2 linked regions of the Schizosaccharomyces pombe genome follow. The protein of the gene in region 2 interacts with the protein of the main gene of each other region in a biochemical or structural test. Each region holds a gene or a part of one and is shown on either strand. Other genes may lie near its edges.

Region 1 (4,964 bases), on a different chromosome or scaffold from region 2:
ATTTCAAGCTTCAGGATAAGTGATCCAGAGAGTATTCGGTTTTACTCATCTACGACTGCTAGGACTCGTTCCGCAGGTCAACCTTTTGACAATGAAGTCCAAACTTATATAGACACTGATGTTTCTTCAGAAAACCCTTTCATCCAGTTCGATCATATTGATAGTTCCTTTGTCCAACTTGCAACGTATATCGACACCTCTATGATTCCTTCAAGTTTGAAACCATATCTTTCTGTATTTGCTAAATATATAGAAGCTGCTCCGGCCTTGCTCTCAGGTACCATACCTACACCCTATCACGAAGTCGTCAAGCAACTTGAGCGTGACACTGTATCACTCAATGTTTCGCTTAGTTTTGACACATCATCTTGTGGTTACGCTTATTATGAAACTAAACGTGAACTGCTTTCTATAGAAATAAAGGTCACTCGTGAAAATTACGAAAAAGGAGTTTATTGGATACGAAATTTATTAGCCAAAACGGTATGGGATAGAGAAAGAATGTTATCAGTAATAAATCAGCAACTGGCCGACATTCCTTTTCAAAAACGTGACGCAGAATTTATATTACCATCATATTTCGATATCCGTCTATACAATGATTGCTCATTGAAGTACAGCCTAAATACCTTAAGTCAAGAGAAAATTCTTCGCGAATTACGGGATAAGTTACAGAATGATCATTCATCAATTTTTGATGCCTTTCAAAAAATGAGAAATTACATGTTACAGCATCAAGCCATTCGTATTCATGTAATTGGTGACATTTTAAAATTACCTCAGCCAATAAGTACATGGAATAAGTTACTTGATAGCGAATGCCACCGGAATCCAAATATGGAGTTTCTTTCGACTTTCTCTAAGAACTATTTAAAGCCTCAAGAATTTGGAAGTAGCAGTTCCCTTACCGTTATTCCGATGCCGTCAAACGAGAGTAGTGATTTGGTATTTTCTATTCCAGGTATTACCAGCTGGCTTGATCCGTCACTTCCAGTTATCGTCTTGATTGCAAATTATCTAGGGTTGATGGATGGCCCTTTTTGGAATACCATTCGTGGTTCTGGCCTTGCTTACGGATTTAATATGTCAATTGATGTGGATGGTGGTGTGCTTTATTATTGTATTAACACCTCCCCTGATGTCTATAAAGCATGGGCTTCAAGTCGCGATCTTGTAAAATCGCTAATATCTGGTGAGGTGCAAGTTAGTAGTTTTGATTTGGAATCTGCCAAATGTGTATCTTATAGCATAGTATCGGAGCTTGAAAACAACGCAATTTACTCATCAAAAAACTCGTTTACTTTGTTATCTATCAAAGGTCTAAACAAAGATGAAGATCATAAATTTTTAGAAAAAGTAAAGCAGGTCACATTACAACAATTTTTAGAGGGTTTAAAAATTTATTGTTTACCGTTCTTCTCATCCAGCAATAACTTAGCTGTTATCACTTCTTCCTTAGCTAAGATCGAACAAACTGTTGAACAGTTCACAGAGGAAGGCTTCAATGTGAATGTTGAAAGTCTGCATGAAATTCAAGGAATTGAATCAGAATCCGAAGATGACTTATCGGTAGGAGGAAATGATGACAATTAATGAGGCGTGAACTCAACCAAAATTTTTATTTTATTTAAAAAATGATATTTTATAAAATTCCTTAAACTTTGACTCATGATTAATGAAAATAAAAAAAAGACTTATACCAACAAATCAAATAATTCTTCGATGTATGAAAATATATGTGTATATTCGTATTCTTTTTTAGTCCTACAAACGTCTGTCGACTCATTCTATTAACTCGAAGCATCAAAACAAACTAGCAAAGTGCTTTCTGCACTTACTACGCTTTCTAAGGTACCCATTTTCAGAACGGTGCTCTTGTGACAACCACTTGTTAATGATTCAAATTAAGACCTAATTAAATGAAATAATGCTAATAATTTGTGACACGCAAACAGAGTAAACTCAAATACTAAATTTGCTAGTCATCTGGCTTTTTCTCTACAATATCAAATTAATATGTCAGCAATACTACAATATGATTCAGTCAGTAAAGTAAGTGGAATTTTTTCAGTATTTTATCTAACTAAATTGTTTAGGGAACTTATTCAGTGAAACCCAAGCCAACAGAGAGCCTGGGAAATGAGTTTAGTGAAGGCCTTTTTGTTCCTTTGATAGGAGGTAAAGAACCTATAGAATACGTAAAATTAAGAGAAAATCTCTGTACGAAAGTGTTAAATGAGTTAGAAGAAATTACAACTCACACTACATATGATAGTAACGCCAGAGTTTTGAGACAATTGTGTGAACATGCATCAGAGCCAGTAGATGAAACTGGGTTACTTCGAACTGCAATCGTTTGTGATAAGAGTAGCAACTCGATGCACCTAAAGTTTTACGAGCAACTTAAAGACGATATGGAAAAAATTGGGTGGAAAAACTTTGTTGTGTTAAATCTGAAAGCTCATCGTGATTTGAAATCATGTTTTCGAGTAATAAAAGGTGGATCATTTGGACTAGGTGTCCTTTCGTATGACATTGAAAAACTTGATGAAAAGACCGTGTTGGTATTGGAAGATGTAGAAGATTGTGATCGGCGTCTTTTATCTTCTCTTGTGGAAGCACTTAGCTCACTCGTCCGACATTCAAAGTTACAAGGATGCTTATACACAATTTTTAATTTAAAAATACCGCTTGAAATGTTTGATACATCCCTCGATTCAAAATTCCTTAGCAATGTTAAAACCAAGGTTTTTAACATGAAGGCAAGCACGGAAATTCTTGAAAGCCTCTTTACCTCGATTGAGGAGAGTTTGAGTTTAAAATTTGGCTGGCGGACTCGGAGATTTTTTCGCTCGATGTTTTACGAGCGTTCATGGAGTGTTGAGAGAGTTATTGAATGCATTCGCTATAGTATTCTAACTCACTTTTATGGAAACGCTTTGAGTATTATAGAGCATTTGATATATCAAAAAGACTTTCATTTAATATCCCCTCTTCATTTAACCACTCTAAGAACAGTTCCTAGTTTTCAGCGGCACATTGAACAGCGTCTGGAAATTGGAGATTTGGAAAGCATTAACTATGTCGAGAAAATGTTGAATGATGATACCTACTTTCAAGAGATGGTCATTCAAATGTGCGAGAATTTATTATATCGGGAGCGTTTACTGCGCACCCAAGCTAAAATTTGGCACGAATTAGAAATGGCTGTGAAAACAACGACTAGAATTTCATTTGCTGATTATTTAGAGACATTTTTGCAAGGGGACTGGCTATCAAGTCCTCAGTACAAAAGTATATGTCAGGCAATTTTAAGAATGAATTCTACCAAAGCCTTGGCTTGTCTGGATTATTTAAATGAAAACATATTTACTGGAAATCAAACTATGAAGTGCTTAGAAATTCACCAGGAGCTTTCTGAACTCATTCGCAACTCTTCAACTAATTACTTAGAGCCCGTCGAGGTTCGAATGCAAAACTATAGTGGAACAAAGCATACAAGAAAAGTTGTTGAATCTGGCTTTGATAAAAGCATAATTGACTTTTCTAAAATTTTGAAGAAAATTGTAGGATTATTGGACGAAGAAGTTCAATATGGATGCTTGGGTACTGAATCTATTGATATGTATCCCTTTTACGAAGTGCTATTTTATGATTACTGTCGACCGTTGAATCAAGCATTTGCTTCAGGACATCAAAGAAGTGTGATTCATAGTTCGTGCATGGATCCAGAGTATTATGTAGGAGATGAAAAGAAAATTGACAGCGAGTTTTCTAACGCTGAAAAAGATGGAAAAGATTTGATATCCTGGCTTCCAGATTTATCTATCCTTTATAAGTTATATAGTGAATCTGGTGCATTGCTTAATTTGTACGATTGGTACATAGCATTTTCAGAGCATCTGCAAGCTGGAAAAGAAAACTTGAAAGAGGATGATAACCATCCACGAGAATCACCTCAGGGGAATCTGCAAAGAGAATTGAATGAACTAGATGAGGATAAAAGAAAACTCGAAGAAGCAAAGCTACAATCTCGATTTTTGTTTGGTTTAGAAGAATTGAGGTTTTTAGGGCTTATCAAACCTACCGCTCGCAAAACTGATCATGTCATGAAAACTATTTATCATCAGTAAGGTGCGAAATATAAATTGTGTATAACCTTGCTACTTAAAAATGCTAGCAACTCACTTTTTTCTCTGTATTCAAGTCTTTTAGGTTCTCCCAAGAAGCCTACTTTTTGTAAACAATTAAATGTATATCTCATTTTGAGCACTTTGTCTTTTGATTAAATTGAAAATATGTTCTTTCTCTGTTGGCTACCTATACCGATAGAAACAATAGCACGCTCGAAAATTGGAATCTGATAATCTGTCAGATTTCGGTGCTTATCATATTTATTACAAATATTCTATTCTAGCTAAGAAGTCGTCAGATCAAAGATAATTTGTTGTGTTCCATATTGCTCGTAGACCAGCCTATAAACCATTAATCGTAGTATTGTGATATATAAACTGGCGGTTAGCAACTTCGGATTCAGTATTTCGCAAATAATTCGCATTATAAAGAAAAAGATCAACTCATAAAAACTTACTTTATTTTGTTTTTTTATCCCACACCTGTATTGTTCTTCTATAACGATACATAATGAATTACATAATATAAATTTTGGGAATTTGTCTCAATGGCAATGATATTTATTTTAGCCCCAGATTTATTGCTACTTATATTGTGACGTTTCTCACGAATGAACGAACATGGATAGCGCCCTAAGTTACACTGTTGAGTATGTGCGCATACGAAGTCTGTTTTCGACTACAAACAAGCTGCTAGACACCTTCAAATTTTCAAAAGTATACAATGACACCTGATCAAAACGCTTTAGTTTTAAGTTTTCTCTTGACCGTAGGTGGTCTAATAGGATATTTGCGCAAAAAAAGCAAAGTATCATTAATCGCGGGAACGGC
Region 2 (4,259 bases):
AATCAGTCAAGTACGGAAATCTACTTTTCGATTAAAATTGTTAACAAATATTAGATTTTTACTTCGGGTTCACATTATGTGGACTACTGGAGGTGATCTTCCGCTCTCTAATCCTGTATTGCAGCGCGATTTCAATGTAAAGACTTTCATTCATCTTCACAAGAAATACTCTAATTCAGGAAGTGCTGTTGTGTTAAAAAACTCCAAGAAAGTTGTTCCCAGACTTAATACAGTCAATTCATCGCTTGACTTCTTGCAAAACCGAACTCCACGTCTTTCTTCAATTCTACCAGATGAGATTTTTACAAAAAGACTTCCCAATCTACGGATTTTTTCTAATTTTATTAAAGTTTGTCGTCCGCTTATCTATATGTTGTTTATGTGGCATTGGAAAAGAAAGCAAAAATCGAGTTCTCTTAAAGTTCGACCTTGGGGGCCTTGGATTGTAGCGTTTGTTTTTGAAGTTATTTCTCAATTAATTGATCGAAGATGTGAATCAGCGACTTCTAGTCGCCAGGGGTTTGGACTAGAACGCCGGACAAATCAAAGTCAGTTTCAGCATTTTGTGGTTTGGGCGTTTACTCAAGGACGATTTTATGATGAGTTTACCAAGTATGTAATTTATTTGAAAGGTTTTTATAACAAAATGTCGTTTTTCAACTCACTAACTAATTTAGACACTGGATAAATCGTTCCCTAAGCTGGGTTAATTCAATACCCGTTTTTGGTAAATATCTACTTCTTTCAGTTGAGGAAAGACAAAAAAGTCTCGAAAATTATATATCCTCTGGTATGATATTGATATTTTTACTGCTACTAACCTTTCATTCAGTTAGAAACTATTAAGGAAGCCTTGATGACCAGAACCTATAGAAATCCTTTTCTTATTTATTTAACTCGGTGTTTTTCTCTCTCTTGATTTCAGTATTGTTAGTATTTCATTTATCTACTACGTCTTTTGTTGCTTTGATGATTAGTCTTCATTCTTCTATAAAACTCAGTACACTTTTATCGAAAATAAAGCAAAAGCTTCAACATTGCATGCTACGAAGATTAGCAACGTTATCCATACATGAGTCAATCAGTATCTGAAATCTGCGGTGCAGATATGTAAGGTTTAAATAAGACTTTAAATTTCACAACTAAAGAATGCTGTGTTAAATTCAGACAAAGGAAAAGATGTAATACACTGAAATTCGGATATTATGATGAGTTCATATCAATTACTAAAAAATGCATTTTGATTTTTTTAATAACATACTTAAAACAGTTAACGGCTAGATTACAAATTAAATCTAAGCAATATTTAATTCTACGTACTCCGCACTAGGCCATTTATTCAAAAATAATTTTGGCTATGCATTAGCGGTGAAGAAGTTAGTATTGAAAGTGAATTAGCTAGGAGAAAGAAAACTTCTAATAACTCAAGCGAAACGAACTTCTGTTCTTTACTACTATTAATCAAATATATTACAAAAAATAAAATTTTATAATTCTATTTTAGAATAACTGTTTAAGCACATTTTGTTACGACAAGGCTTCTCAATAAAATACACCTTGAACCAAGTACAACGCTTATAGTAAACAATCAATTAAGATTTCAATAATTCCAAAGTTTAAATTGTATTTGAAATGTACGAATATTATTCTTCGTTTTCCATTAATTACCTTTCGTTTATTTGTATAAATTAGTCCACTAGTTTTTGCTTCGAGCGATGAATGTTTCACTGCACGACACCATATGCCAAAGCATAAGCATATTGCCATGAAATGCATTTGTATCAGTTGGAAGACGAATTAAAAAAGAATGTCTTTTGCAGGGAAGATCAAATAAAGAAACTTTCATGTTTACTTTTTAATAAGGATTGTCGTGTTCCAAGCATTGTGCTTTACGGAGTTGCTAGTACAGCAAAGACTTTTTTATTGCGGACCGCTTTTGATTTGTCAAAAGAAGAAAATGTTTGGATTAATTTGCAAGACTGTTTTACAGTCGCTCATTTCTGGTACCGGATCCTTATAAAAGTCGGTGTTGACAAAGATATAGCATTAAAAAAAGGCATTAATATCAGTGGATTTATTTATTTACTGGAACAGGCAATGTCCAAAAGGGACTATCATACATTTTTGGTACTTAGTTCCTCTCCTATTTTATTACTCTTAAATACTAATATGAGTTATAGGTGCTGGATCAAATAGATGATTTCGCTGAGGCTTCTACTATTCTATTCTCACAATTAGCTCAGCTTCCGATTGTTGTAAGTAAATATTTACAGACCCACTGATTAACTATTTTAGGCAAACATTCCCAATCTGTCAATCATTTTTGTACTTCATTCTCACCCTGCTCAATACTTGGGAACATTGTCTATTGCAGTGATTTTTTTCCCACAATATACCCAAGCGGAAATATTAGAGATATGCCAAAAAACACCTCCTAATTTAGATTTTTTGGATAGATCTGGCGATAGTGTTTTTGAAGACGAAATTGAGCTCAGCGTCTGGATGCAATATTGCTCGTTTCTTTGGAGTGTTTTTGGAGTGCAGTGCTTAAATGACTATAGGTCTTTTCGTAGTGTTTTGGATAGATATTGGCCAAAGTTCATTCAACCTATAGTTGAAGGAGACATACATCCTGCTGATTATGCTCAACTTCACAAGCTGGCTAAAAACTTTTTAGTGTCAGATGCTACGGTTACTAAAAGACTTCACATAATCAACCCGACTGAAATAAAAAATCTTCTTGATTCCAAATCTATTAACTTGTCGCTCGTTTCCAAATATTTACTCGTTTCTGCATTCCTAGCATCTTATAATCCAAGCCGGTTAGACGCCCAATTTTTTTCATTTTCTAAAACTTCGAAACGACGTGGAAGAAAACGTAAACAAATTCAAGATGAAGGGGTTTTATTTTCCAAAATACCAAGAACCGCTGGGAGCAAAGGCCGGTCTGCTGTAAAAATATCCCAACTTACATTAGGACCTAAACCTTTTGAAGTAGAAAGGTTGATTGCTATTTATTATGCCATTTCTTCCCCGGTAGAGAAAGTTCTGACCGCTGATGTTTTTGTTCAAATAGCTACACTCGCCTCCTTAAAAATGATACTTTCGGCTTCCAAAGGTGTGCTTCGCTCTTTGGATAGCCCTAGATACATTGTCAATGTCTCTCGCGAATATGTATTAAAAATCGCAGATTCACTTTCGTTTCCTCTCGATAGTTATTTGGCGGGATAGCTTAGTATTATGGTTTATTTTATTGCATTACTGAAATTTTGAATATCGTAGTTCTGTCACAATTCATTAATTTATACAGAACTATATGAACATCCATTCTATCTCCCCATAACATGTTATTTTACTGTTTAAAGGGCCCAAAACTTAAAAAACATATTTTTTTTTGTTACTTCTGGAAAATAAAAGAAAATGTACACTACAAACAATTCGATTACGCCTCTGTGATTCTGTGTAAACTGTTACGTATTTAACATTATGGAAGTTGGCAAAGCTGTAAAAAGCAAAAACTAGCGCCGAAAACACTCTTGACAAAAAAATAAAGTAATGTGCTGCTAAGATGGATACATAATATATATCAAGAGGCAAAGTTTCAATCATAACTCTGATATAAAAGTTAACCCTCTGAAAGAGCTACTCTGCTGCCGTGTAAATCAACAACGGGAGACAATTCATTAATAAGAACATATGTATAAAGAAAAGCGTCCGTCAGTTAACGTCAAAACATAAGTAAAAGTATATTTTTAATGGTTAATAAGAAATCATTGGAGATTTAACCAAAATCTTATCCATTTAAAGATGATTAAAAATAAGTATCAAAACCCGTTCATGAAATATGGAATGTTAGAGGTAACAGTAAAAGATGAAATAAAACGGAGGTTCAAATGAGAAAAAGAAAAAAGGGTGTTTCAAATCATCAAATATTTAGCATCACCGACGTTGTGTATCTACACTAGCTTTGCTATGGCTACGATGGCTGCTTGTGCTTCCTCGACGTCCATGTCTAAGCGAAGGAGCACTATGGGGAGCGGGTGGAAGAGTGCCTTTCATGTGAGCATATAAAACAGATATGATATCAGTTAAGCTAACAACGCCCAACAATTGATTGACCTTAACACCACCCATGGATCCAGGGGAAAGATGTGCGTTATTTTTTGGGGAAGGAGGGCAGGAAGGTGACTGCACAAGCCAAAGACGATGACATTGGGTAGCCACCAACTTAGCCAACGTAAAAGCAAAAGTAGAGGATT

Evidence for each region. The genes of interacting proteins can lie anywhere in the genome.
Region 1: the proteins of orc5 (region 2) and orc3 form a complex in vitro, tested with the Schizosaccharomyces pombe proteins (3 studies listed by BioGRID).

Annotation. Positions count from the first base shown.
Region 1 is NC_003424.3:1,928,217-1,933,180, reverse strand, and holds orc3 (origin recognition complex subunit Orp3), read left to right. Parts: upstream 1-1,877; 5' UTR 1,878-2,016; coding exon 2,017-2,052; exon of another isoform or gene 2,053-2,096; coding exon 2,097-4,133; 3' UTR 4,134-4,410; downstream 4,411-4,964. Other genes in the region: sdd3 (metallopeptidase), read left to right, coding at 1-1,593; SPOM_SPAP14E8.05C (uncharacterized protein), read left to right, coding at 4,858-4,964.
Region 2 is NC_003423.3:951,788-956,046, reverse strand, and holds orc5 (origin recognition complex subunit Orc5), read left to right. Parts: upstream 1-1,729; 5' UTR 1,730-1,770; coding exon 1,771-2,127; exon of another isoform or gene 2,128-2,180; coding exon 2,181-2,255; exon of another isoform or gene 2,256-2,295; coding exon 2,296-3,231; 3' UTR 3,232-3,713; downstream 3,714-4,259. Other genes in the region: Pex16 family peroxisome import protein, read left to right, coding at 1-10, 55-612, 678-790, 833-846; protein sds23, read right to left, coding at 3,940-4,259. UniProt on the Schizosaccharomyces pombe protein: Component of the origin recognition complex (ORC) that binds origins of replication. It has a role in both chromosomal replication and mating type transcriptional silencing.